Linked DNA regions of Saccharomyces cerevisiae S288C. The gene in region 3 interacts genetically with the main gene of each other region. Each region holds a gene or a part of one and is shown on either strand. Other genes may lie near its edges. The genes, in order: INM2, LOT5 and FLC2.

Region 1 (10,419 bases), on a different chromosome or scaffold from region 3:
AAGAATATGTTCAAATTTAAAGCAAGAGCTACAAAAGCAGCAACAGGATAATGCAAAGTTGAAAGTTCGACTACAGTCGTATGCTTCCAATTCTGATAAGATCAATGAAAAAGTCGGAAAATATAAATCTTGTTTAGAAACTCTTCAAGAAAGGATTGCAACGTTGACGAGCCATAAGAATAATCAAGAAACTAAATTGAAAGATTTAAGACAAAACCACCAACTATATCAGAGAAGGATAAGCGGATTTAAGACAAGTATTGAAAACTTGAACAAAACAATAAATGATTTAGGGAAGAACAAAAAGGAGGCGGATGCAGAATTAATGAAAAAAGGTAAAGAGATTGAATACCTGAAAAGAGAACTAGATGATTGTTCAGGTCAGTTGAGCGAAGAAAAAATCAAAAACAGTTCCTTAATACAGGAAATGGGAAAAAATAGAGAAGAAATGATTAAATCAATTGAGAATTTCTTTTCAGAAGATAAAGCACACCATTTACTGCAATTTAACAAATTCGAAGAAAGAGTTCATGATTTGTTTGAAAAAAAATTACAAAAGCACTTCGATGTGGCAAAAGATACCCTTAACGTAGGCTTGAGGAACACCACTGTAGAGTTGAGTAGTAATACAGAGACCATGCTAAAGCAGCAATATGAAGATATCAAAGAAAATCTTGAACAAAAAATGTCATCCAGTAAGGATGAAATGGCAAAAACAATAAATGAGCTGAGTGTAACGCAAAAAGGACTTATAATGGGAGTACAAGAAGAACTATTAACGTCATCAGGGAATATTCAAACTGCTTTGGTAAGTGAAATGAATAACACAAGGCAAGAGCTTCTTGATGATGCGTCTCAAACAGCCAAAAATTACGCGAGTTTGGAAAACTTGGTGAAGGCATATAAGGCAGAAATAGTTCAGTCGAATGAGTATGAAGAAAGGATAAAACATTTGGAGAGTGAAAGGTCAACTTTGTCTTCACAAAAAAATCAGATTATTAGCTCTCTTGGTACTAAAGAAGCACAATATGAAGATTTGGTCAAAAAGTTGGAGGCGAAGAATATCGAAATTTCACAAATTTCTGGCAAAGAACAAAGTTTAACTGAAAAAAATGAAAACCTTTCTAATGAACTGAAAAAAGTCCAGGATCAACTAGAAAAACTCAACAATTTGAACATCACAACAAAATCAAATTACGAAAATAAAATATCTTCTCAGAATGAAATTGTGAAGGCTTTAGTTTCCGAAAACGACACTCTGAAGCAAAGAATTCAACAGCTAGTAGAAATCAAAGAAAATGAACAGAAGGATCATACAACCAAACTGGAGGCTTTCCAAAAGAACAATGAGCAGCTACAAAAGCTAAACGTCGAAGTAGTACAACTGAAGGCTCATGAATTGGAGCTTGAAGAGCAGAATAGGCACTTAAAAAATTGTTTAGAAAAAAAGGAAACTGGTGTTGAAGAATCACTAAGCGATGTAAAAACCCTAAAACAGCAAGTGATAGTTCTGAAATCGGAGAAGCAAGATATAACAGCTGAAAAGTTAGAACTTCAAGATAACCTCGAAAGTTTGGAAGAAGTCACCAAAAATTTACAGCAAAAGGTGCAATCGCAAAAGAGGGAATTAGAACAGAAGATTAAAGAGCTAGAAGAGATAAAAAACCATAAACGGAACGAGCCTAGTAAAAAAGGTACACAAAATTTTACTAAACCATCAGATTCACCCAAAAAAAATGCTACGACGTCCAACTTATTTCCTAATAACTCTGCTGCCATTCACTCTCCTATGAAAAAGTGTCCTAAGGTGGATCATATAAGTAAGTCAAGAATTAATTCATCCAAAGAAACATCCAAATTTAACGATGAGTTCGATCTTTCTTCATCATCAAATGACGACCTAGAGTTAACCAACCCTTCCCCAATCCAAATTAAACCAGTGAGAGGAAAAATCAAGAAGGGTTCAAATTGCATGAAACCTCCAATTTCTTCAAGAAAAAAATTACTACTAGTAGAAGACGAAGACCAGTCATTAAAAATAAGCAAGAAAAGGAGAAGGAAATAGAGGATAATGGAAAATTTGAAATCGTTTTGTGCGAATACATTTCATTTTGTTCCCTGCGTAAGAAGTATGCATAGTAAAATTAGCGTAGATATAGTTTTTTGAGGTATATACTTATTCATAGCTTATAAATATTTACAGTGTTGTAACTCTAGTAAAAACAAAAGAGGTCATCTAGATTGCATTCTCCTTATTTTATCACTGATATCGTCTTCTTCAAGAAAGTGCAGGATCTTGGTGCACGACTTAGGATCACCAACTTTCTCAATATGAAGTACTGGTATGTCGAAGCAATATTCCTTCCACCATTTTGCGTTTCTTCGGTCAGTTATGTTGACTATCTCTAGTGAAACTGCTTTATTATGAAATTCCTTTCTTTCAAATACATCATCTATCACTTCCTTTGCTTGATCGCATAACCCACAATTAGGCTTTGAGAAGAAAGTTAATTTCACTCCAGCATCATGTAACAATACCCTCGAAGTATGTATAGAACAGCGGAACGCTCTCAACATGGTGATATGTTCCTTAAGTTTTATGTCTTACTGAATAATTACGAATTTCTGTTATGAATTAAACGAAACTTTACAATGCATCAACTCCGAACTCTCTACGGAAAGGTAACAACTTGCGCACATCATAGACCCATAAAGCGAAAAAAAGGGAAGTCAATCACAGTTATATTGACATTCCAAAGCCAGTAACTAAAAAACTACAAAAATGGATTCTCACAGTCATATTAAGTGACCTCTTATTATTTCCCTTAAAACGGTAATTCTTAATAAAGAACGTCAGTGTTCCGAGTGATAACGCCGTGAAGCACCCTGCTTCATTACATATGAAATCGTGGGGAGAAAAAATCGTGAAAACAATATAGAGAATAAGTGAAGTTGAAGCTCCACAAGCCCTTGTAAAGTAAACTTAGATTGAAGCGATGGTATTAACGAGGCAAGTACTAGAGGAAGTGGAGAACACATTTATTGAATTACTTAGGAGTAAAATAGGACCTCTCGTAAAATCGCACGCAGGAACAAACTTTTGTTCATATGATGATAAAGCAAATGGCGTAGATTTGGTAACTGCTTTAGACAAACAAATTGAATCTATAATCAAGGAAAATTTAACGGCCAAGTATCCCAGTTTCAAATTTATCGGAGAAGAAACTTATGTAAAAGGTGTCACGAAAATAACTAACGGCCCTACATTTATTGTTGATCCCATCGATGGTACTACTAATTTTATTCACGGTTACCCCTATAGTTGTACATCTCTAGGTTTAGCTGAAATGGGGAAGCCGGTTGTTGGTGTGGTTTTCAATCCTCACTTAAACCAACTATTCCATGCTTCCAAAGGCAATGGAGCTTTCTTAAATGATCAGGAGATAAAGGTTTCAAAAAGGCCATTGATTTTGCAAAAATCCTTAATTGCTTTAGAAGGAGGTTCGGAAAGAACTGAAGGTTCCCAAGGAAACTTTGATAAGAAAATGAATACTTATAAAAACTTACTAAGTGAGTCCGGCGCCTTTGTTCACGGGTTCAGAAGTGCAGGAAGTGCTGCCATGAACATATGCTACGTAGCGAGCGGCATGCTTGATGCTTATTGGGAAGGTGGCTGCTGGGCTTGGGATGTTTGTGCCGGTTGGTGTATTCTTGAGGAAGCAGGAGGAATAATGGTTGGCGGAAATTGTGGAGAATGGAACATTCCATTAGACAGAAGATGTTACTTGGCTATTAGAGGTGGATGTGAGTCGATGGAGCAGAAGCGATTTGCAGAATCGTTTTGGCCTCACGTTGCGGGTGAGTTAGAATACTAAATGCCCCCCTCAGGTGTCGTTAAATAAGCTACATCTAAGAAAAGTTTATATAGTACTTCACGCAATTCCTACTAGTATTTTTTTCCAGTACAGGACGATATCTTGAAGCAGCAACTTGATTTCACAGGTCACTTAGTGTGGGCTTCTGACTCAAGAATAGCAAGTATTACATGCATGCGGCCCTCTCCTTTAACAGCGCGATATACGTGAAGAAAAATTTCAATGAAGAGTAATGCGCTTATTATCAACTTCGATTGAAGGGGTCCTATATCAGTATGCTACAAGGGAAGGTTGTTCGATAAACATAAGCTTCTCATTAGCATGAGTTCTATAGATAATGACAGCGATGTGGATTTAACAGAAGATTTAGCCGTGGCCAAGATCGTTAAAGAGAATCCTGTAGCTAGAAAAATGGTTAGGTATATTTTATCGAGAGGAGAATCTCAAAATTCGATCATAACAAGAAACAAGTTACAATCTGTTATACATGAAGCTGCTCGCGAGGAAAACATAGCAAAACCGTCTTTTAGTAAAATGTTTATGGACATAAATGCTATACTGTATAACGTATATGGGTTTGAATTACAAGGATTGCCGTCAAAAAATAATATGAACGCTGGCGGTAATGGAAGCAATAGCAATACAAATAAATCAATGCCTGAGCCACTGGGACATAGAGCCCAGAAATTTATCTTGCTAAACAATGTCCCGCACTCAAAAAATTTTGACGATTTCAAGATTTTACAAAGCGCTCACACTTATGAAGAGCTAATAGTTACCGGAGAGTATATTGGTGACGATATAGCTTCAGGAACTTCCAATACCTTAGAAAGCAAGTTGAGTACAGATCGAGATCTTGTTTACAAGGGTGTTTTGAGCGTCATTTTATGCATTGTTTTCTTCTCTAAGAATAACATATTACATCAGGAATTGATCAAATTTCTAGAGACATTTGGCATTCCAAGCGATGGTTCAAAGATTGCTATACTGAACATTACTATTGAAGATTTGATAAAAAGTTTAGAAAAGCGCGAATATATAGTCAGATTGGAGGAGAAATCCGATACCGACGGGGAAGTGATATCATACAGGATAGGTAGAAGAACTCAGGCTGAGCTTGGACTAGAGTCTCTTGAAAAATTGGTGCAAGAAATCATGGGCCTTGAAAAGGAGCAGACTAAAAGTTTGCACGATGATATAATAAAAAGCATTGGCGATTCATATTCTATATAGCATTGCATAGGTGTCCATGTAGTTTAGGTGCGCATCTTTTTTGTCGAGGAAATAGTGAAGATGAATACGAAATAAACTATGGGCAAATAGTTACGAAAAAAGACTGGACTTAAACGGGTTACTATATATTTGTATAAGTTATCTCCTTGTTTTCTTTTTACTCAACCATCATATTAATTTGCAAGCTTACTTAACAAGTCTTGTATACTAGAAGAAACCCCTCCGGAATTCTCAACACCTTCGTCGGTTTGGGCGCCGACGTGGCCTTCTATATCTAACTCATAATGTCCATCCTCACTGTTGAAAGTACCATCTTCACTCGTCTTCGAATCAAGATGAACCTTTTTTTCCGGTATGTCATTAGCGTCATCATGACCTATCATATCATGTGTTCGTTTCATACCAAATTGATTGTCACTAGGATTATGAGTAGAGTTTTTATGTTCGCTATCTGTCTTTTCTACAACTTCATTCTTCTTATCTGTGGTGCTAATATTAGTAACGCCATAATTGCTGTCATTGGATCTATCATCGTAATTTTTGTCATCATCATCATCATCATCATCATCATCATTATCACCATCATCGTCATCGTCATCTCCATCCCCCACTTCATACGTAGGAATAATATTGTCTTCATCAACGTTTTTATTTAATCTGGATGGGTCTTTAGCAGATAAAACGAATTCTATTTCACTTAACATATTCTGTTCCTCATCTAGATGCCTTTTTTCATCGTCCAGTGTGCTTTGCAGTTTATGGATACCGCTTTCTCTTTTTAGAATTGATTCATTTATTATATCTTTAGCCATGTTCCCAATCTTACTTATTGTTTTAAAATTTTCCTCGTAAACTGAGCTGGATGGATCCAATTCATCTGATGATTTGTCAAATCTCATTTTCATCGCGCAAACATTATGGTGCATTTTCACTAATTTTTCATAGTCCTTAGCAAAATCTTTCAATTTCTGGGGTAACACCAACGCTTCCACTGGTGAGCTCTCGGTTTTAAGACTTCTTTCTATGTCATTGACTACCTGCTTGGAAAATATATTTCTTTCTTTTAGTATATTCACAACTCTTGACAACTTCTTTTTTAGGTCCCTCGGAAACTCTTGATTAATTCTTCCCAATACTTCTGCTGCCACCTTTCCAAAGGAATCTTGAAATTGAATAATTTTTTGACCTTTAGCCTGTTGAACAACATGATTCATTAAGTAAAGACCCAATAACTTCCTTCTTGTGTTTACACTAGGCCTTAACATGTATTCTTTCCACATTTCTGCCACTTTGGGAGCATCTCTATACTGTAGAAGCAACCACTTTGAGGCACTGGAAATAGATTCTTGGGAATCTTCCAACGTATTTAATTTGGTTGTGAATTGCTCAGAAGAGAAAGGCATACCGTCTATTTTAATCTTGGATTATTGCTTTCTTCAAATTTTCTACCTCTTCGTTAAAACCTTCTTCGCTTGTACTTATATTATTATGTTGGCTTTTCAAGTTTATATATTTTTAAAGGAAAAAAATAACTTTTTCATTTTTCGTTATAAAACAGAACCGTTATACATATTGAGATGGTTAAGGTCGTAGAAAAGAAATGTTCATTTGAGAAGGAAAAATGGAGGAAGGACCTATCAAAAAGAAACTGAAGTCAGCAGGTCAAGGGAGTGGAAAGACCGATGCCTTTAGAAATTTTGAACAATTTTTTTTCCGCCTTAATACTCTTTACACCTTTTTGATTTGCAGAAAGCATGTTGTGCCTACATTTAAAACACTTTGTGGACCTATAGAAACTGCTTTGAAAAGAACTGTGACGAAAGAAGACCTAGCCATGGTTATGGCGCTAATGCCAAGAGAATGTGTTTTCAAGTATATTGATGAGAACCAAATTTATACTGAAACTAAGATTTTTGACTTCAATAATGGCGGCTTTCAGCAGAAGGAAAATGACATATTTGAACTGAAGGACGTTGATGACCAAAATCAGACTCAAAAATCTACTCAGTTACTTATATTTGAATTTATAGACGGTACAATGCAACGCTCATGGTCTGCAAGTGATAGATTTTCTCAAATAAAGATACCAACATATACTACGGAGGAAATGAAAAAGATGATTTCTAAAAGGGAAGCTCTCTTTAAATCCAGACTACGGGAATTTATCCTGGAAAAGGAAAAGGCTAACCTTGACCCATTTTCTGAGTTAACAAATCTAGCGCAGAAATATATTCCAAGGGAGAGAGATTATGAGGATCCTATTGAGGCAATGATGAAGGCGAAGCAAGAAAGTAATGAGATGAGCATTCCCAATTATTCCAATAATTCAGTGATAACAACAATTCCTCAAATGATTGAGAAATTAAAAAGTACTGAATTCTACGCTTCTCAGATAAAGCATTGTTTTACAATACCATCAAGAACAGCGAAGTATAAAGGTCTCTGTTTTGAGCTTGCACCGGAAGTATATCAGGGTATGGAACACGAAAATTTCTACAGCCATCAAGCAGATGCGATAAACAGTCTTCATCAAGGCGAAAACGTCATTATTACAACATCGACCTCTTCAGGTAAATCCCTTATTTACCAACTAGCAGCTATCGATCTTCTTTTAAAGGATCCTGAATCAACGTTTATGTATATATTTCCAACAAAGGCCCTGGCACAAGATCAAAAAAGAGCATTCAAGGTAATACTTTCAAAGATCCCCGAGCTAAAGAATGCCGTGGTTGATACGTATGACGGCGATACGGAGCCAGAGGAAAGAGCTTATATTCGTAAAAATGCTAGAGTTATTTTTACCAATCCTGACATGATACATACCAGCATTTTACCTAATCATGCAAATTGGAGACATTTTTTGTACCATCTAAAGTTAGTGGTGGTCGATGAATTGCATATATATAAGGGTTTATTTGGATCGCACGTGGCATTAGTGATGAGACGTTTACTAAGACTGTGCCACTGTTTTTACGAAAATAGTGGTTTACAATTTATTTCATGTTCTGCAACTTTAAAGTCTCCAGTACAACATATGAAGGACATGTTTGGAATTAATGAGGTTACGCTAATACACGAGGATGGCTCACCTACAGGTGCTAAGCATCTAGTGGTGTGGAATCCTCCAATTTTACCTCAACACGAACGTAAACGAGAAAATTTCATTAGAGAGAGTGCAAAGATATTGGTACAATTGATATTGAACAACGTAAGAACCATAGCATTTTGCTACGTTCGTCGTGTTTGTGAATTGTTGATGAAAGAAGTTCGCAATATTTTTATTGAAACTGGGCGTGAGGATCTGGTTACAGAAGTCATGTCTTACAGGGGTGGTTATTCTGCTTCCGACAGACGTAAAATAGAACGTGAGATGTTTCACGGAAATTTAAAGGCTGTCATATCTACCAATGCTCTAGAACTTGGTATTGATATCGGTGGACTAGACGCAGTCTTGATGTGCGGTTTCCCACTATCAATGGCGAATTTTCATCAACAAAGTGGTAGAGCTGGAAGAAGAAATAATGATTCTTTAACCCTCGTGGTTGCAAGTGACTCGCCTGTTGATCAACATTATGTTGCTCATCCAGAATCCTTGCTGGAGGTTAATAATTTCGAATCTTATCAAGATTTGGTTCTTGATTTCAATAACATTTTGATACTGGAAGGACACATACAATGCGCTGCTTTCGAACTGCCAATAAATTTTGAACGTGACAAGCAATACTTTACTGAATCTCATCTTCGCAAAATCTGTGTTGAACGCTTACATCACAATCAAGATGGGTACCACGCCAGTAATAGATTTTTACCATGGCCGTCCAAGTGTGTATCTTTGAGAGGCGGAGAAGAAGATCAATTTGCCGTAGTGGATATAACAAATGGAAGAAATATAATAATTGAGGAAATAGAAGCATCCAGGACTAGTTTTACTTTATATGATGGCGGTATATTCATTCACCAAGGCTATCCCTACCTTGTGAAGGAGTTTAATCCTGATGAAAGATATGCTAAAGTGCAAAGAGTAGATGTTGACTGGGTAACCAACCAAAGAGACTTTACAGATGTAGATCCACAGGAAATTGAACTTATACGCTCTTTAAGGAATAGTGATGTTCCTGTTTACTTTGGTAAGATCAAGACTACAATTATTGTATTTGGCTTTTTTAAAGTAGACAAGTACAAGAGGATCATCGATGCCATCGAAACCCATAACCCTCCTGTAATAATCAATTCTAAAGGATTATGGATAGATATGCCAAAATATGCCTTAGAAATTTGCCAAAAGAAGCAATTAAATGTAGCAGGAGCTATTCACGGGGCGCAACATGCAATTATGGGTATGTTACCGCGATTTATAGTGGCGGGTGTGGATGAAATACAAACTGAATGCAAAGCTCCGGAAAAGGAATTTGCAGAACGTCAAACTAAACGAAAGCGACCAGCTAGATTAATATTCTATGATTCCAAGGGCGGTAAGTACGGGTCTGGCTTGTGTGTTAAAGCGTTTGAGCATATTGATGATATTATAGAGTCTAGTTTAAGAAGAATAGAAGAATGCCCATGCAGCGATGGATGTCCTGACTGTGTAGCGGCTTCTTTTTGTAAGGAAAACAGCCTGGTCCTGTCGAAACCTGGCGCCCAAGTCGTTTTGCATTGTATTCTAGGTCACTCGGAAGATAGTTTTATAGATCTTATCAAAGATGGTCCAGAGCCAAATATGCCAGAGATAAAAGTAGAGACTGTTATTCCTGTGTCAGAGCATGTCAACTTTTCAGATGATTTTAAGATTATTGACGTTAGAAGAGCTACGAAAGACGATACTCATACAAATGAAATCATTAAAAAAGAGATATGAGCACGCTATTTGTAGTTTGTAAACCGAATATAAATACTCTATTCTACTACTTGTAGATTCACTTGGTGGAAAGAAGTTACATCAACATTCTGTCACCTTGTTGATGCACAGAAAAAAAGACACTTTATTATTGTTGAATAACATTGTCTGTGGTATATATATATATACTATGATATTACAGTTTTTAAGACATTAATGTATTAACAGCCCATTTTACGCTTAATGTCCTCAAATCGGTATAGGTTTGTCCCACGCCAACGAATAAGATAGGAATCCCCGTAGCATAAACCATATTTACCATAGTACCCAGCATTTCACCAACTGTGTCACACTTGGAGATAATAAAGAAGTCAAGATTTCTTCCCTTTCCGAAGGCATCATTAAAATTTTTGGCTTGCTGGACAGAATCAGTACCTACTAAAGCCTCTCCAACCATAATGATTTTATCTGGCTTGG
Region 2 (10,194 bases), on a different chromosome or scaffold from region 3:
AGAAAGGGCACAGGGTTGGGGTATTTGAATTTTTTTTTTGGGTTTTTTCGTATTACTTATTACTTACCTTCTTTTCTATATAATTTTGTTTTTCCCTGGTAGAGCGGAATCTTCCCACTAAATTTTTAGCAGAGAATCCTCGGGTTTGTAAACCATGTTATAGTTAAACCCCGATATTACACCATTAAAATCATTTCTAAATATGCGGTCGTCGATGATCAGCTGCAGGGAAATGCCAAAATATGGACCCCATAGAGGTCTTGGCTTGTTCATATCGTTGGGTCGATTTCTGTTCCCAGTGTTATTTGGTTGAATGGGAACAGTCGCGTCTTGCCCCATCTTGTCTCTGCCGCTTTCGTCGAATCTGACTTTGCAATTGACGTTGCATATCAACGTGCCGGATCCCGGAATAGCGTGATAGTCTACTCCTGTTAGGGCATGTTGTGTTTGTACGACCTGGTTTTGCCACATTTGCAGAAAAACTGTTGCTTGCGCGAAGGGGGTAGCATTAAATATTATTCTGCAGTTGTTTGGATTAAAAAGCTGTACGAATTGGGCCAATTTGTTGGAGTCCGGATCATCCAAATGCGCTAATATCTTCTTCGTAAATGTGGCCGTTATTTGTGCTTGATTTGCGTCATTCATTACCATAGTATTACTATTGGTGTTCATATTTCTGTTATTACTGTTATTAGTTTGGCGTTTTGCCTGACGATCAGCCTGGTGGGGCCAAGTATATACTATAAAAACAGGTTAGTTACTTGCTCTATGCGTTTGCGCATCCTCTTTTTACTTTTTTTTTTTCAGTAAAGCCTAAGCATAAATCGTTTTATACGTACGACACGTTCAACTTTTCTTGGTTAGTAGTGGCAATCTCTGCAATACATACAGGGAGTCATGGTCTATCATCTTGTCCAATCAAAGAAGCATCGGTTCAGATCGAGCAAACTGTAGGGAGAAAGGAAAGTAGAAATGCAGAGTGTGCTATATGTCCAATCTCGGTTTTGTAGTTTGGATGTCATTAGAGATCTACCACCCAACCGGCTGCTTTCATGTGGAACAGAAAAGAAATCGGGGCGCTTCCTCTTCTGTATTCCTTTAATTAACGTTTTTATTCAGCCATCTAACCATCATACCCCCATACGGTAACAAAACCTCTTCTAAGAAAAGAAGTCTCTGCTCCTCCGCCATCTTATTTTTATTCGCTGCGCGCGTTTATTGTCGCATCGCTAGCCAGCAAAAAGTTGGTTGCCTTTTTTTACCTAAAAAAGACACATCTAACTGATTAGTTTTCCGTTTTAGGATATTGACGCCAAGCGTGCGTCTGATTTCTACGATATGTCTCTAATTTTGGAAGGGCCATTTTATTTTTGAGGATTGGGCTGATCATTTTCCTTACGTGGATTGAGCCAGCAATACAGATCATTATTAAACTGTTTTGTACATGATGTTAGTATATAATCGTAAAGCTTTTCTAATATGTATACCTTATACATGGAACTCCACAGAACTTGCAAACATACCAAAAATCCTTTATTCTTGTTCACTCATTTTACATCAAAAAATAATATTTCAGTTATTAAGGAAAATAAAAAAATAGATTAGAGAAGCATTTTGAAGAAATAGTATATTCTTTTATTGAACCTAAGAGCGTGATATTTTTACTCGAAATAAAATACGAAAAATCTATACACTCATCTTTCCGACTACTATTGGCTCCTGCTCAAAAAAAGAGGGAAAAAAAGCTCCAAAATTCTATCTTTTCCTATCGCTCCTGTCCTATCCTTATTACGTTCATTACTATTTTAATACTATCCATTCTTTTATTTTCAGTCTAAAAAAAACATTTCTCATAACGGGAAAAGCAAAAAAATGTCAAGCTTATACATCAAAACACCACTGCATGCATTATCTGCTGGTCCGGATTCTCATGCAAATAGCTCCTATTATGACAATCTTTTATTGCCTTCATTTTCCAATTTATCCAGTAATATCAGCAGGAACAATATCACAACCGATAACAATATAAATTCAGCAAGTCCTAGGAAGTATTCGTTTCATTCGCTCAATGTGTCGCCAATTCTTTCCCCAATATCTTTGGCTAACGAAATACTTGGAAAAAAATCAAATACTGCACCAGCATCGCCACATCATATGGATTACAATCCAATTTCCTCATTAACACCAGGCAATTCACCAGAATTCAACAAGGCAAGCTTATCTCAGATTAGTTTTACAAATCCATTGAACTATGGGTCTGGCTTAGGTTTTTCCTCTAATTCACAACCTCGACTACCATTGTTAGACAGGCTATCGTCCGTCTCTTTATCTAAGAGACCGGAGCGCCCACAACAAAGCCTACCATCACTAAGGCATCTGCAATTATTACCCAGTCCTCTTTTACAAGAAAACGCAGCACGCTTCCCTGATACATCAAAACGTACATCTAATTGGAAAACTGATCTTACCCATTGGTGTAAGGATACAAACTATCAAGACTATGTTAAAATACGCGAAGAAGTGGCTCATTTCAAGCCATTAAGTATACCCAACTTAACTAATAATCAAAATAATGATAGTTTCAATTACGGCAAGGAATTGGAATCGACTAGGTCGTCCAAGTTCCATTCCCCGTCTAAGGAATCATTTGATCGTACCAAACTAATTCCTTCGATTCTAGAAGCTAAAGATCAATTTAAAGATCTTTCCAACAATGCATGGAGTATTACTCCTCCCGTCACACCGCCGATGAGTCCACCAACCAATAGAACCATGGAGCGCACGACGCTTAGAGGAGTAGAGGCCTCTTTTTTTGAGGGGAAATCCAGCAATAACGATTCAATATTCAATCCAATTATTAGTGAAAAATTGGTTCAAGAAGTTAAACATCAAAGACAATTACGTGGAAATTCATTTCCCATGCCAAATGCCAGTCACAAAAAGACGAACAGTTTCAAAGCTTTGCAAATAAAAAAATTGCTTGCGAATAGAGACATTCTATCGAACAATTCCAAATCTAATGTAAGGAAACCATCTAAGAACAAAATCTCAAAGCAAGCATCAAATGTTTTCGGTAACACTGCAAGACAATTGGTGATGAAACTCGACAACGCTAGTTACAGTTCTGTCTCTGCATCTTCATCTCCATCTCCCTCCACACCGACGAAAAGTGGCAAGATGAGATCAAGATCATCCTCACCTGTGCGTCCCAAGGCATACACTCCAAGCCCAAGGTCACCCAATTATCATAGATTTGCTCTCGACTCTCCCCCTCAAAGCCCTCGAAGATCATCAAATTCAAGCATAACGAAAAAGGGAAGTAGAAGGTCCAGTGGCTCATCACCCACTCGTCACACCACAAGAGTGTGCGTGTCGTGTCATTCGAGTGATTCGCCCTGTTGGAGGCCATCGTGGTCGCCAAGAAAGCAAGATCAGCTATGTAACTCTTGTGGTCTTCGATATAAAAAAACACATACAAGATGTTTGAACGATTTATGTCGTAAGATCCCCACAAAGGGTGAAATAAACATTATGAAATCCAATGGAATAGACAAAGAATTCGTCCCCGAACGCAACTGCGAAATTGAAGGGTACCGTTGCTTATTTTGTAATTACATAACTGAGACAGTAGAGAATTGATACATGGATAACTGAATCTCTTTCAACTAATAAGAGACATTATCACGAAACAATTGTACATTTCTCTCCTTGTCTGTGCTAAATAAACTACAAATAAAAATTCATTTTCTTTCATTTTCATTCGACACGCCGCGGCATCTTCGTTTTCTTCACCGATTAATTTTAATCTGCGCCGTGCAGATATTTTCGCCCATTTCGAAGTGAAATCATTCTAATAACTTCTCCTGCGCAATAGATTGGTCATCCTGATTTTTATTCTGAAATCGAAAATGAAAAGCATTTATTGCACTGAAATAGCGGAACCTGCTTCTAATAAGCTTAAAATTCAATCATAATAGTGTAGTTAATAGAAAGGACAGAAGAACTTTTCGTTCCTTGGTTTATCATCCAGGTTTCAGCACGGCTTTTGTTTCAAGTTTAAGTAGGTAAGATTTTTTGATTGTTCTACAACTTTTTCATAGTAATCAAAACCTTTGAATTTCAAACTTACTATGTCTAGTACTCAAGTAGGAAATGCTCTATCTAGTTCCACTACTACTTTAGTGGACTTGTCTAATTCTACGGTTACCCAAAAGAAGCAATATTATAAAGATGGCGAGACGCTGCACAATCTTTTGCTTGAACTAAAGAATAACCAAGATTTGGAACTTTTACCGCATGAACAAGCGCATCCTAAAATATTTCAAGCGCTCAAGGCTCGTATTGGTAGAATTAATAATGAAACGTGCGACCCCGGTGAGGAGAACTCGTTTTTCATATGCGATTTGGGAGAAGTCAAGAGATTATTCAACAACTGGGTGAAGGAGCTTCCTAGAATTAAGCCATTTTATGCCGTCAAATGTAATCCTGATACCAAGGTTTTGTCATTATTAGCAGAGTTGGGCGTTAATTTCGATTGCGCTTCCAAAGTGGAAATTGACAGAGTATTATCGATGAACATCTCGCCGGATAGAATTGTTTACGCTAATCCTTGTAAAGTAGCATCTTTCATTAGATATGCAGCTTCAAAAAATGTAATGAAGTCTACTTTTGACAATGTAGAAGAATTGCATAAAATCAAAAAGTTTCATCCTGAGTCTCAGTTGTTATTAAGAATCGCTACCGATGACTCTACCGCTCAATGTCGACTTTCCACCAAATATGGCTGTGAAATGGAAAACGTAGACGTTTTATTAAAGGCTATAAAGGAACTAGGTTTAAACCTGGCTGGTGTTTCTTTCCACGTCGGTTCAGGCGCTTCTGATTTTACAAGCTTATACAAAGCCGTTAGAGATGCAAGAACGGTATTTGACAAAGCTGCTAACGAATACGGGTTGCCCCCTTTGAAGATTTTGGATGTAGGTGGTGGATTTCAATTTGAATCCTTCAAAGAATCAACTGCTGTTTTGCGTCTAGCGCTAGAGGAATTTTTCCCTGTAGGTTGTGGTGTTGATATAATTGCAGAGCCTGGCAGATACTTTGTAGCTACAGCGTTCACTTTGGCATCTCATGTGATTGCGAAGAGAAAACTGTCTGAGAATGAAGCAATGATTTACACTAACGATGGTGTATACGGGAACATGAATTGTATTTTATTCGATCATCAAGAGCCCCATCCAAGAACCCTTTATCATAATTTGGAATTTCATTACGACGATTTTGAATCCACTACTGCGGTCCTCGACTCTATCAACAAAACAAGATCTGAGTATCCATATAAAGTTTCCATCTGGGGACCCACATGTGATGGTTTGGATTGTATTGCCAAAGAGTATTACATGAAGCATGATGTTATAGTCGGTGATTGGTTTTATTTTCCTGCCCTGGGTGCCTACACATCATCGGCGGCTACTCAATTCAACGGCTTTGAGCAGACTGCGGATATAGTATACATAGACTCTGAACTCGATTGAAGGATATATTTAACCACGACTTTCGCAAGAGAGACGGAGGGGGTGGGAAAAGGCTGAATGCAACCATTGTCACTAAGAATTTGAGTGTTCATGAACGAGTTATACACGCTATTTAAGAGTCAGAGAATGATGATTCAAGAAAATTCTGGCATTTTTCCTGTCCACCACTGTACGCCATTGTACACAAAAGTATTTTTTTATATTTTTTTTACAATTTTTTATAATTTTTTTTTATGTTTAGTGTATATTTGCTAGAAAGAAACAAGATCTTTTTTGGTAGTGTAAATGCTTAAACTTTGTCTCTTTTTCCTTTTTACTTTGGAAAAATGCCGACGCAAGAACATAGACATCTGCGAAAACCAAAAATAAAGTACCAATTGTACATACAAAAACAGAGAAAAAGTTCATGAACAGAACGTTACTACGGTATAGCAAGATCTTTGAATACATCCATTACTTCGGATTGTTCACCATACTTCAACACAGGCCAAGATAGACCATAGCTACAGTGATAGACGAATATTTATTTCAAAAGAAGCATCAACCATAAAATAAAAAGAAAAATGATGAAAAAAAAACCAAAGTGCCAAATTGCAAGGACCAAACCATCGGTCGAAAACGTCATACCATATAACCAATTCAAGAAGACGCAGCCGCGATTCAACGGCAACTTTTCTGCACTGAATAATGAAGAATACATAATACTCTTTGGCGGAGGTCGGGACCTGATACTAGGCTCCCTGACACCTTGTTCGAGCTCTCATTTGTCCAATCAAGCCAACCCACAAGACACCAGTGAGTATGGCACAGACCTGTTTATACTCAACAGCTGCATTATCATTTGGTTCAATGGCTTGGGATATGGGCTGGAAATTCCCTACAGCAGCGTTTTGTACCATGCATCAAGACGGCTACCAGATGGTAGGGAAGGGCTTCAATTAGAAATTTTGCTGACTTTGGAAAGAGACGAAGTGTTGGACATGCTCTACCAAAGCCTCGCGCCACAGGCCTGCGAATTCGACGGCGAAGAAGCACATGCCTTCACCGTGCGCAGCGTGGAATTGACTATCAGGCCCAAATATTCAATATACGATCGCCATTATAACAACGAAATCGAAACCCTTTTCACCTTCGAAAACTTCGGCGTGAACAGGGGCGATGACCTGGTAAACAATTGTAACGAAGCACTAGCCGTATGCATGGACCTGCACGGTGAGGACGTACAAGATCAAGACCAGGAACAATACCAAGATCCAAGCATGGCGTTTGAGGGTGCGCAAGATCTCAACGCCACGTATTCTGGGCTTGGAGACACCCTTCACGGGCCGCCCGTGTATCAGAACGACGGGCTGGCAGACGATCTGGATGGCGACCTCGTTATGGACAACGTGGTCTCTAGGGGTGGTCCAGAAGCAAGTATGTCTATGGAGTTCTACGCAAATCAAAATCTTGCTGGCAGAAAGAACTCCAGAGACAATGAATGAACAACATCTATTATGGGAACATCCCGCTGTACTATGCGGTCTCGTCCTCTACGAATATGGCTATTTGCCTTCGTATATACCTTTCTATACCAAGTAATGAATGTCTTGAGGGCCCGTATGGCCGCGCGAAGGCTTAGTTAAGATGTTTCAGCAAACGGCAGCATGTGAAAAAACCCGTAGAAGGTCCGCATCAGCCTTCCATGCCCGTGCACCCACGGCTCCTCGGAGGCCGGGTTATAGCAGCGTCTGCTCCGCATCACGATACACGAGGTGCAGGCACGGTTCACTACTCCCCTGGCCTCCAACAAACGACGGCCAAAAACTTCACATGCCGCCCAGCCAAGCATAATTACGCAACAGCGATCTTTCCGTCGCACAAGTTAAAAGAAATTGTTGAAAAATACAAATAATCGCGAACAATACGTTGTTGCTATTTAACGCTTTTGGTCTGACAGTAAGTGTGCCTTTCCCAATCACCGAAAAGTGTTGAACGATTCACTGCGACAATAATCAGAGATTACAGTCGGCATTTTGGCATTTTTGGCATACTTTTTATCGATTGAACCATCTTCTCCAAACACTTTTCCTTTTTCCTTCTATTCTGCAGGACCAACTAAAACTGGGTATATATATCATTATCTATATATATAAACGGCTTTCAACAAAGTTATAGGGGAAAACTAAAAATATAAGAAAAAAAAAGGTATTGATTGATAAGGAAAAAGAACCAAGGGAAAAATATAAAAAAGTACATTGGGCCTTTTCATACTTGTTATCACTTACATTACAAAGAAGAACAAACAACTTTTTTAAACGAATTTTCTTTCTTCCTTTTTCAATTTATTAATTCTTTTTTTCCATACAATTCAAGGTCAAATATATTCTTATATGCTCTTTGAATATTTCTGAAAAATATATAAAGAAAAGAAACTACAAGAACATCATCCGGAAAATCAGATTATAGACTAGGATTCCGCTCTTTTTAGTATATTTATTCGCCACACCTAACTGCTCTATTATTCGCTCATTATGGACGCTTACTCCACAAGACCATTAACCCTATCTCACGGTTCTTTAGAGCACGTGCTTCTGGTACCAACCGCTTCATTTTTCATTGCTTCGCAATTACAAGAACAATTTAATAAAATTTTGCCCGAACCCACTGAAGGGTTTGCTGCAGATGACGAGCCTACCACACCTGCTGAACTAGTGGGGAAATTCCTTGGCTACGTATCTTCTCTAGTCGAACCTTCCAAGGTCGGTCAATTCGATCAGGTCTTGAACCTTTGCTTAACAGAATTTGAAAACTGTTATTTAGAAGGCAATGACATTCACGCCTTGGCTGCTAAACTATTACAGGAAAACGACACAACTTTAGTGAAGACTAAAGAACTAATTAAAAATTATATTACCGCCAGAATAATGGCTAAGAGACCATTTGACAAAAAATCCAACTCTGCTCTTTTTAGGGCCGTCGGCGAGGGTAACGCACAATTGGTAGCCATTTTCGGTGGTCAAGGTAACACCGACGACTACTTTGAAGAATTGCGTGATCTATATCAAACTTATCATGTCTTAGTGGGAGATTTAATCAAGTTCTCCGCTGAAACTTTAAGTGAACTGATTAGAACTACTTTAGATGCTGAAAAAGTCTTTACTCAAGGTTTAAACATATTGGAATGGTTGGAGAACCCTTCAAATACCCCAGACAAGGACTATTTACTTTCCATTCCAATTTCATGCCCCTTAATTGGTGTCATTCAATTGGCTCACTACGTAGTTACTGCCAAGCTTTTGGGTTTCACTCCAGGTGAGTTAAGATCTTACTTAAAAGGTGCTACAGGTCACTCTCAAGGTTTGGTTACTGCTGTCGCCATAGCTGAGACGGATTCCTGGGAATCCTTCTTCGTCTCCGTAAGAAAAGCAATTACTGTATTATTCTTCATCGGTGTTCGTTGTTACGAAGCATACCCAAACACTTCCCTACCACCATCCATCTTGGAAGATTCCTTGGAAAACAATGAAGGTGTTCCATCTCCAATGTTGTCCATTTCCAATCTAACTCAAGAACAAGTTCAAGACTATGTAAATAAGACTAACTCTCATTTGCCAGCTGGTAAACAAGTTGAAATTTCTCTAGTCAATGGTGCGAAGAATCTAGTCGTATCGGGCCCACCACAATCATTATATGGTTTAAACTTGACTTTAAGAAAGGCCAAGGCCCCATCTGGACTGGATCAATCAAGAATCCCATTCAGCGAAAGAAAATTGAAGTTCTCCAATAGGTTCTTACCTGTTGCATCACCATTCCATTCCCATCTATTGGTTCCAGCTTCAGATTTGATTAACAAAGACTTAGTCAAAAACAATGTCAGCTTTAACGCTAAAGATATTCAAATCCCCGTTTACGACACTTTTGATGGTTCAGATCTAAGAGTCCTTTCAGGTTCCATTTCCGAGAGAATCGTCGACTGCATCATTAGATTACCTGTCAAATGGGAAACTACTACACAATTCAAAGCCACCCACATATTAGACTTTGGTCCAGGTGGAGCTTCCGGTTTAGGTGTTTTAACCCATCGTAATAAAGATGGTACTGGTGTTCGTGTTATCGTTGCCGGTACTCTCGACATTAACCCAGATGATGATTACGGATTCAAGCAAGAAATCTTTGATGTTACTAGTAATGGTTTGAAGAAAAATCCAAACTGGTTGGAAGAATACCATCCAAAATTAATTAAGAACAAATCAGGCAAAATTTTTGTCGAAACAAAATTTTCTAAATTAATCGGTAGACCACCTTTATTGGTTCCTGGTATGACACCATGTACTGTTTCTCCAGATTTCGTAGCTGCTACCACAAATGCTGGTTATACCATTGAGTTGGCCGGTGGTGGTTACTTTTCCGCAGCAGGTATGACCGCCGCTATTGATTCTGTGGTTTCTCAGATAGAAAAGGGTAGTACCTTCGGTATCAACTTGATCTACGTCAATCCATTTATGTTACAATGGGGTATTCCATTAATCAAGGAACTAAGAAGCAAAGGTTATCCAATTCAATTCTTGACCATTGGTGCTGGTGTCCCATCATTGGAAGTTGCTAGTGAATACATAGAGACATTAGGTTTGAAGTACTTGGGTTTGAAACCAGGTTCCATTGATGCTATTTCGCAAGTTAT
Region 3 (9,180 bases):
CCGGATCTTGTCTTGGGCAAGTCATCCACTAAAATGATCAATTTTGGTGCGGCAAATGGCCCGATGTCTTTTCTAACAGTAAAGACCAAATGCTTCTTGATATCTTGTAATTCATCATCTGTTGCGGTGGACCAACTAGATTTGTTTTTCAACACCACAAATGCAGCAACTGCTTGACCAGTCAAGTCATCGTTGAATCCGACAACAGCACACTCGGCCACAATTGGATCTTCGATAATAGCAGCCTCAATTTCAGCGGTAGACAGACGGTGACCAGAGACGTTCACCACATCGTCTACACGACCCAAAATCCAGATATAACCATCCTTATCCTTTGCAGCACCATCACCAGTGAAATAGTAGCCAGGGTAAGGGTTCAAATAAGTGTCTAGATACCTATCATGATTTTTCCAAATAGTTCTTGCAAATGATGGCCATGCAGCTTTGACGGCAAGGACACCCTCTGCGTGGCTGGTGTTAAGTTCTTCACCAGTGTTAGGGTCAAGAACAACTGCATCAATACCGAAGAAGGGGAATGAGGCAGAACCCGGTTTCATTGGTGTAACACCACCAGCCAGCGGGGTGACCAGATGCGAACCAGATTCTGTTTGCCAGTAGGTGTCTACAATGGGGATTTCATTTTTACCTATTTTTTCAGAGTACCACTCCCAAACTTCAGCAGCAATTGGCTCACCGACCGAACCCAAGCAACGCAAAGATTTTAAGGAATGATTTTCGATGTAGGAATCACCAGCTCTTTTCAACAAACGCAAAGCAGTTGGCGCAACATAAAATTGGGTGACTTTGTGTTCATCAATAATATCCCAATAACGGGAGTAATTTGGGTACGCAGGAGTCCCTTCAAAGACCAAAGTGGCACAACCATATAGTAAGGGACCATAAACCACATAAGTGTGGCCTGTAATCCAGCCAATGTCTCCAGCTGTGAAGAAAACGTCTTCTTGGTGAGTGTCAAAAGTGTAGCGCATGGTCAACAAAGCTCCCAGCAAGTAACCTGCGGTAGAATGTTGAACACCCTTGGGGGCACCAGTAGAACCAGACGTATACAACAAGAATAATGGATCCTCAGAATCAACGGGTGTGCATGGATAGTAGGTCTTGTATTTCTTCTTTTCTGTTGCCCAATCCAAATCTCTGGGGGCATGGAAAGCAACAGATGGATTGTTGGTCTTTCTATAAACCAAGACGTGTCTCACGCCTGGGGTCTCTCTTAGCGCGTCATCAACAATTCTTTTAGTCTCAATGACTTTACCACCTCTGTTGGATTCATCTGTAGTGATGACAACTTTAGAGTCCCCATCGTTGATACGATCTCTCAAGGAGTTGGAAGAAAACCCGGCAAAGACTACGGAGTGAATGGCACCGATACGGGAAATGGCCAACAAGGTTATGATTGCTTCTGGGACCATAGGCATGTACACGGCAACAGTATCGCCCTTGCGAACGCCCATAGAGTAAGTCAGCACTTGTGCCACTTGACAAACTTCTTCAAGTAGTTCCTTGTAGGTAATGGAATAGCCTTGGCCAGGCTCGTCACCTTCGAAAATAATGGCTTTCTTGTTAGGAGTCTTCAAGGCATGTCTGTCAACACAGTTGTAACAGGCGTTTAATTGGCCGTTGAGGAACCATGCATTGTTCTGGAAGGAGGGCCTGCCCGTTTTAGGGTCTGGGATGAACACCTTATCGAATGGCTTAGACCAGTTTAAAAATTGGGTAGCTTTAGAACCGAAGAACTTAGCAGGGTCTTCAATAGACTCCTTGTGCAAGCGCTGATAGTCCTGCAACCCGTCCAAGTGTGGAGAATAGTGGGTAGCAATTGCGGGCTGCAGTCTATCTGAGATGGGCCGTTGTGGCACGATCTTGACCGAAGTCAAATGTTCATACTCATGTTCCTTCTTCTGCTGCGCAGTGGCGGCAGACTGGGACATTTTTGCTTTCAACTTGTCAATTTCACTTGACTGTTCTTCTAGTTTTGATGATTGTACGGCAGAGGGCGACATAGCACAGTGGGCAATGTCTTTCTAGTAGTTTTGATATGTTTGGTTTTGCTTATAGATAGAAAATATAAGAACAAGATATAACGTACTACCAGATAACCTAAGGGAGAAATATGCTTAGAATAGCCGCCCAGTTTATATACAAAATGAAGGGAGAACTATTTGCCACCGAGGAACTGTACCCCAACTGCAATACCCATTGAATAATGGCATCGGAGGCTCGGCGGCAATTCGTACCCCAACCTTTTTTTTTTACTTTTCTTTGGATCTTAGAGATAACAGAAAAAAAGGATGACCCCAATCATTTGCCACGGCATGTCAACAGGTGAGTGCCTTTTGAGGGGGGGGGGTCATCTCGACATCCGGCGAAATGGAGCAGTCACACGTGAACATTTTTAGGGGATGGAGAGTGCTACGCCGTTCGTCCGAGATGATTATCATATTTACACAGCCGTACATACACGTGCCATTTATCTTGATATCATTCTGGACGTATGTGCACATGTGATTTGCTTTTGTTTTTTTAAGAATGTCGGGTAATAAACAGATTGTTTTTCTGGGAGGATAATCTTTTCTTTTTTCCTGTTGGTATTCTAAAATTAACCTTGCTGTTTCTTTTTTTTTTTTTTTTCGCGCGACTACTCAGCCATCTTGCATTTTTAAAGAAAAAGATAATCATTAATGCCTTCACGGGAATACGTATAGAACATTATTAAAAGTATATGAATGGCATATATATATAGAACACCACCCTTGGAAAACATTTATACCCCTTAAACTAAAACAATTTGCTGCGCTATACCGTGTTTCAGTGTATTATAATACATTCATTTCTGTTTCATTACGATTATATTGACGTGATAAAAAGATTATATAGCCATGATCTTCCTAAACACCTTCGCAAGGTGCCTTTTAACGTGTTTCGTACTGTGCAGCGGTACAGCACGTTCCTCTGACACAAACGACACTACTCCGGCGTCTGCAAAGCATTTGCAGACCACTTCTTTATTGACGTGTATGGACAATTCGCAATTAACGGCATCATTCTTTGATGTGAAATTTTACCCCGATAATAATACTGTTATCTTTGATATTGACGCTACGACGACGCTTAATGGGAACGTCACTGTGAAGGCTGAGCTGCTTACTTACGGACTGAAAGTCCTGGATAAGACTTTTGATTTATGTTCCTTGGGCCAAGTATCGCTTTGCCCCCTAAGTGCTGGGCGTATTGATGTCATGTCCACACAGGTGATCGAATCATCCATTACCAAGCAATTTCCCGGCATTGCTTACACCATTCCAGATTTGGACGCACAAGTACGTGTGGTGGCATACGCTCAGAATGACACGGAATTCGAAACTCCGCTGGCTTGTGTCCAGGCTATCTTGAGTAACGGGAAGACAGTGCAAACAAAGTATGCGGCCTGGCCCATTGCCGCTATCTCAGGTGTCGGTGTACTTACCTCAGGGTTTGTGTCTGTGATCGGTTACTCAGCCACTGCTGCTCACATTGCGTCCAACTCCATCTCATTGTTCATATACTTCCAAAATCTAGCTATCACTGCAATGATGGGTGTCTCAAGGGTTCCACCCATTGCTGCCGCGTGGACGCAGAATTTCCAATGGTCCATGGGTATCATCAATACAAACTTCATGCAAAAGATTTTTGATTGGTACGTACAGGCCACTAATGGTGTCTCAAATGTTGTGGTAGCTAACAAGGACGTCTTGTCCATTAGTGTGCAAAAACGTGCTATCTCTATGGCATCGTCTAGTGATTACAATTTTGACACCATTTTAGACGATTCGAATCTGTACACCACTTCTGAGAAGGATCCAAGCAATTACTCAGCCAAGATTCTCGTGTTAAGAGGTATAGAAAGAGTTGCTTATTTGGCTAATATTGAGCTATCTAATTTCTTTTTGACCGGTATTGTGTTTTTTCTATTCTTCCTATTTGTAGTTGTCGTCTCTTTGATTTTCTTTAAGGCGCTATTGGAAGTTCTTACAAGAGCAAGAATATTGAAAGAGACTTCCAATTTCTTCCAATATAGGAAGAACTGGGGGAGTATTATCAAAGGCACCCTTTTCAGATTATCTATCATCGCCTTCCCTCAAGTTTCTCTTCTGGCGATTTGGGAATTTACTCAGGTCAACTCTCCAGCGATTGTTGTTGATGCGGTAGTAATATTACTGATCATCACGGGACTTCTGGTTTATGGAACTATAAGGGTTTTCATCAAGGGAAGAGAGTCTCTCAGATTATACAAGAATCCTGCGTACCTACTTTACAGTGATACCTACTTCTTGAACAAGTTTGGGTTCTTATACGTTCAATTCAAAGCAGATAAGTTTTGGTGGCTTTTACCCTTATTAAGTTATGCGTTCTTAAGATCCCTGTTTGTTGCCGTTTTACAAAACCAAGGTAAGGCTCAAGCAATGATCATCTTTGTCATTGAACTAGCTTACTTCGTTTGTCTCTGTTGGATAAGACCATATTTGGACAAGAGAACTAATGTTTTCAATATTGCTATTCATTTGGTGAATTTGATCAATGCATTTTTCTTTTTGTTTTTCAGTAATTTGTTCAAGCAACCAGCAGTGGTTTCGTCAGTGATGGCGGTTATTCTGTTCGTTTTGAACGCGGTGTTTGCTCTATTCCTATTATTGTTCACTATTGTCACCTGTACACTGGCATTACTACACAGAAACCCAGATGTCCGTTACCAACCAATGAAAGATGACCGTGTGTCATTCATTCCTAAGATTCAAAATGATTTCGATGGCAAAAACAAAAATGATTCTGAACTGTTTGAATTGAGAAAAGCTGTTATGGACACCAATGAAAATGAGGAAGAAAAAATGTTCCGTGACGACACTTTCGGCAAGAACCTGAATGCAAACACAAATACAGCAAGACTCTTTGATGATGAGACTAGTTCATCCTCTTTTAAGCAAAATTCCTCTCCCTTCGATGCCTCGGAAGTAACGGAGCAACCTGTGCAACCAACCTCCGCTGTCATGGGTACGGGTGGCAGCTTCTTGTCTCCACAGTACCAACGTGCGTCATCTGCTTCTCGTACTAATCTAGCGCCGAATAATACAAGCACCTCCAGTTTAATGAAGCCTGAATCAAGTCTCTACCTGGGGAATTCCAATAAATCATATTCGCATTTTAACAACAACGGCAGCAACGAAAACGCCCGCAACAACAACCCATATTTGTAATCCAATATATACTCACATGTAACAACTTATTATATAAATATTTAAGGGCAAGGATATCCTACATTATATTTCATAGAAAACCGCTCAAAAAGGTGTATTATCTCCATTACATCCCAACACCACACATATTTCAGCGATAAAAACCTTAAATGTGAAATTCGCTTTGGCTCTGCTTCCTTAAATGTACGCAATTGCCGCTTTTTTCTGACATCTTTTTTGACGTGTAGAGAAGGAAACAGATCCTCCAGAAGGGATTTACTGTTGGCTATTTTGTGTTAGAAGCAGGTTAATAATAGATTAGGTTGCGTAAGTCATGGTCGAAAATAGTACGCAGAAGGCCCCACATGCCGGAAATGATGATAATAGCTCTACCAAGCCATATTCGGAGGCGTTTTTCTTAGGGTTCAATAACCCAACGCCTGGATTAGAAGCTGAGCACTCAAGCACATCGCCTGCCCCCGAGAACTCCGAAACACATAATAGGAAAAGAAATAGAATATTGTTTGTCTGCCAGGCTTGTAGGAAGTCAAAAACAAAGTGTGATAGAGAAAAACCTGAATGTGGTCGATGCGTCAAGCATGGGTTAAAATGTGTTTATGACGTATCAAAACAGCCAGCACCACGAATTCCGAGTAAAGACGCCATTATATCAAGGTTGGAAAAAGATATGTTTTATTGGAAAGATAAAGCTATGAAGCTACTAACAGAGAGAGAGGTGAATGAATCAGGCAAGAGATCAGCAAGTCCGATCAATACAAACAATGCTAGCGGGGACAGTCCTGATACCAAGAAGCAGCATAAAATGGAACCTATATATGAACAAAGTGGTAACGGGGATATAAACAATGGTACCAGAAATGATATTGAAATCAACTTGTATAGAAGTCATCCAACCATGATCATGAGTAAAGTCATGAAAAGAGAAGTTAAGCCGTTATCTGAAAATTATATTATAATTCAGGACTGTTTTCTAAAAATCCTGGTCACTTCAGTGTTCCTTGACACTTCAAAGAACACGATGATACCGGCATTGACGGCAAACGCGAATATTACAAGAGCCCAGCCTAGCGTAGCAAATAACCTTTTGAAATTGAAGGAAATGCTAATCAGACAGTGTCAAACCGAAGATGAAAAAAATCGTGTAAACGAATTCACTGATAGAATACTACAAAATACAAATTCAAATAGAAACTTGAAAATCGGTATGCTATTATCAATGCTTTACAATTCTGTCGGTTACCAATATCTGGAGGATCATTGCCCTCAAGGTGGCGAATATTCGGATTTATTGAGAAATTTGATCAATGAATGTGAAGCTATTTTGCCATCTTACGAAATTATTGAACGCTACAAGAACCACTTTTATGAGTACGTTTATCCAAGTCTACCTTTCATCGAATTAGAAATTTTTGAAGAATCATTAAGTCAAACAATTTTTCCGGACCCAAACAACCCCTCCAAGGTGCAAATACGTATGGGTAGCACACATTTGAGAGCTAAGGTGGAAAACTTGAGTCTTCTATTGGTTATCTTGAAACTCTCATACATGTCAATAAGGTTTTTAGATCATAGTACAGCAGACTCGAGTTTTTATCTTTCAAAGGAAATAATTGATAAATACCCAATACCGAACGATTTTATTTTATTGAGTCAAAGATGTCTAGCATCGGAAAATTGGTGTGCATGCGCTAATGAAAACATCATATCATGTTTACTATATATCTGGTCTTTTTTTGCTTTTTCTCCTGAAGAGGGTGATTTCTTTCTCGAGCACCCCACCGATGTTATCAGTAGTTTGATAATGATGCTTTCCACCTCGATTGGTCTCCACAGAGATCCTTCAGATTTCCCTCAATTGATTTCCCCGTCCACCTCAGATAAAAGAACCTTGAATCACAGAAGAATACTCTGGTTGAGTATCGTTACCGTTTGTTCGTTTGAAGCAAGTCTCAAAGGTAGACATTCTGTCTCACCGATATCTTTAATGGCCTTATTCCTAAATATTAAGGATCCTGATTCTCTGACGGTATATATGAACCGAGTTAGGGGCGATCTAAGCGATATCAATAATCACAAACTTTTGAGAATTCATAAATTTACATTCAAGAGAGCCCAGCTTGCGTTACTCCTGTCGGACTTAGATAACTTGACGATGACATACTATGGTAGTTTCCATTTGCATTCAATTGAATTCATAAGAGAAAAGATTGAGATTTTTGTGGAGGAAAACTTTCCCATAGTACCATTAAAAAGTGTCGCACAGGATAAGTCAGACCTTGATGACATGAATGTGATTTCAGAAATGAATATATTATCTTCAGAAAATTCTTCTTCATTTCACAATCGAATAATGAATAAACTATTGATGTTGAGAACTTCAATGGCCGTATTCTTGCATTTTGAAACACTTATCACTAAGGATAAAAGTATCTTCCCATTCTACAAGAAATACTTTATGGTTAGCTGTATGGATGCGTTGTCACTAATAAATTATTTCAATAAGTTTTTCAACGGAGAATATCGACACGCAATATCTTCTTTAACCAGTTTTAATGTTACAAAATTTATTCAGTTAGCACTATCCAGCACAATCTTCAGCCTATTAGGGATTATACTAAGAATAGGTTTAGCCATCCATATGTTATCTTCTGAAGTACAAAAGTTATCGGGAACGACAGATCCAAGAATAAAGGAGTTAAATACCAAAGTCGAAAAATTTAGTACCCTGCAAAGAGATCTCGAGTCTGCTTTAGAAGGTATATATTGCTCTGCTTCGGAACATTTAAGATTCACATACTTCCCCGTTTTTAAGATGTTGGCTTTATTCGATGTCATTGTACAAAGGATGAGAAAGGGTGAATTATGGCACGGCATATTTACGATGATTCAAATGGAACAAATGCATTCTAGGATAATCAAGACATTAAGCATTACCTTAGGAGTCAAACTGGACAAAAAGGATAGGCTATTAGAGGAATTGATGGCATGCAATCACGTTGCGAATTTTAGCGTTGAAGATATAGATGAGCTGAACCGTAATATCAAAAAAGAGATTCAAATTTCTTCAGGATTGAAGCCGCCTGTAAACACAATTGACTTAACCAACGGCGAACCATTCGGAAATGCTGTTCCTACCTTCACAAAGACATGGAGTTCATCCTTAGATAATTTAGAAAAACTATCATCGGCCGCTGCAGTTGGTCAGAGCTTGGACTACAACAGTGGTTTACGTCAGGGTCCTTTGGCGGGTGGTGGTTCAAAAGAGCAAACGCCAATAGCCGGGATGAATAACTTGAACAATTCAATCAATGCTACACCAATTGTCGATAACTCATCTGGATCACAACTTCCTAATGGTTTCGATAGAGGCCAAGCGAATAATACTCCTTTTCCAGGTTATTTTGGAGGTTTGGATTTATTTGATTATGACTTTTTGTTTGGCAATGACTTTGCTTAAAAATTTTCTTTCCAAACTCCTACCTATTCATTTCATCAATTAATTAATATTATATAGCCACGAATTTATGAAACTGACCGATAATATAAAGTGCTCAATATATATATATATGTATATAACGGTTAACGTAAGAAGAGCTCTTCCCTCTTAAACATTCGAAAAATGATTGAACCAGTATATTTGGTCGAGCAAGACTTTCTCCTTCGCATATTTTACGGCAGGTATGGATATATCGCCTCTTGCTGCAAACCCGTGAGCCACACCACTGAAGAGGTCTAACTGGTAAGTAGCGTGATTATCCTTTAATTTTTCCTCCGTTAAGTGTCTTAAGTTTGCCGGAAAGATGTGATCCTCTTCCGCTGCTGAAATCAATATTGGTTTCTTGCTATCAATTGCTTCAATTTCCTCGATGCTGACGAAAGATGGATGTGCAATGGCTGCAGCATTGGCAAGACCCCCGTCGCCACTAATGTG

The links.
Region 1: mutations in FLC2 (region 3) and INM2 together harm fitness less than expected from each alone (positive genetic interaction), as found in Saccharomyces cerevisiae (one large-scale study listed by BioGRID).
Region 2: mutations in FLC2 (region 3) and LOT5 together harm fitness more than expected from each alone (negative genetic interaction), as found in Saccharomyces cerevisiae (one large-scale study listed by BioGRID).

What each region holds. Positions count from the first base shown.
Region 1 is NC_001136.10:1,032,999-1,043,417, forward strand, and holds INM2 (inositol monophosphate 1-phosphatase INM2), read left to right. Parts: upstream 1-2,996; coding exon 2,997-3,875; downstream 3,876-10,419. Other genes in the region: ZIP1 (Zip1p), read left to right, coding at 1-2,065; MGP12 (Mgp12p), read right to left, coding at 2,233-2,577; Smc5-Smc6 complex subunit NSE3, read left to right, coding at 4,197-5,108; RTT103 (Rtt103p), read right to left, coding at 5,282-6,511; HRQ1 (ATP-dependent 3'-5' DNA helicase), read left to right, coding at 6,730-9,963; SRP101 (signal recognition particle receptor subunit alpha), read right to left, coding at 10,148-10,419. UniProt on the Saccharomyces cerevisiae protein: Responsible for the provision of inositol required for synthesis of phosphatidylinositol and polyphosphoinositides and involved in the inositol cycle of calcium signaling.
Region 2 is NC_001143.9:92,627-102,820, forward strand, and holds LOT5 (Lot5p), read left to right. Parts: upstream 1-6,094; coding exon 6,095-7,015; downstream 7,016-10,194. Other genes in the region: MTR2 (Mtr2p), read right to left, coding at 118-672; DNA-binding transcription repressor ASH1, read left to right, coding at 1,873-3,639; ornithine decarboxylase SPE1, read left to right, coding at 4,131-5,531; YKL183C-A (uncharacterized protein), read right to left, coding at 5,769-5,981; tetrafunctional fatty acid synthase subunit FAS1, read left to right, coding at 8,045-10,194.
Region 3 is NC_001133.9:43,002-52,181, forward strand, and holds FLC2 (flavin adenine dinucleotide transporter FLC2), read left to right. Parts: upstream 1-2,897; coding exon 2,898-5,249; downstream 5,250-9,180. Other genes in the region: ACS1 (acetate--CoA ligase 1), read right to left, coding at 1-2,021; oleate-activated transcription factor OAF1, read left to right, coding at 5,563-8,706; protein AIM2, read right to left, coding at 8,854-9,180. UniProt on the Saccharomyces cerevisiae protein: May be responsible for the transport of FAD into the endoplasmic reticulum lumen, where it is required for oxidative protein folding.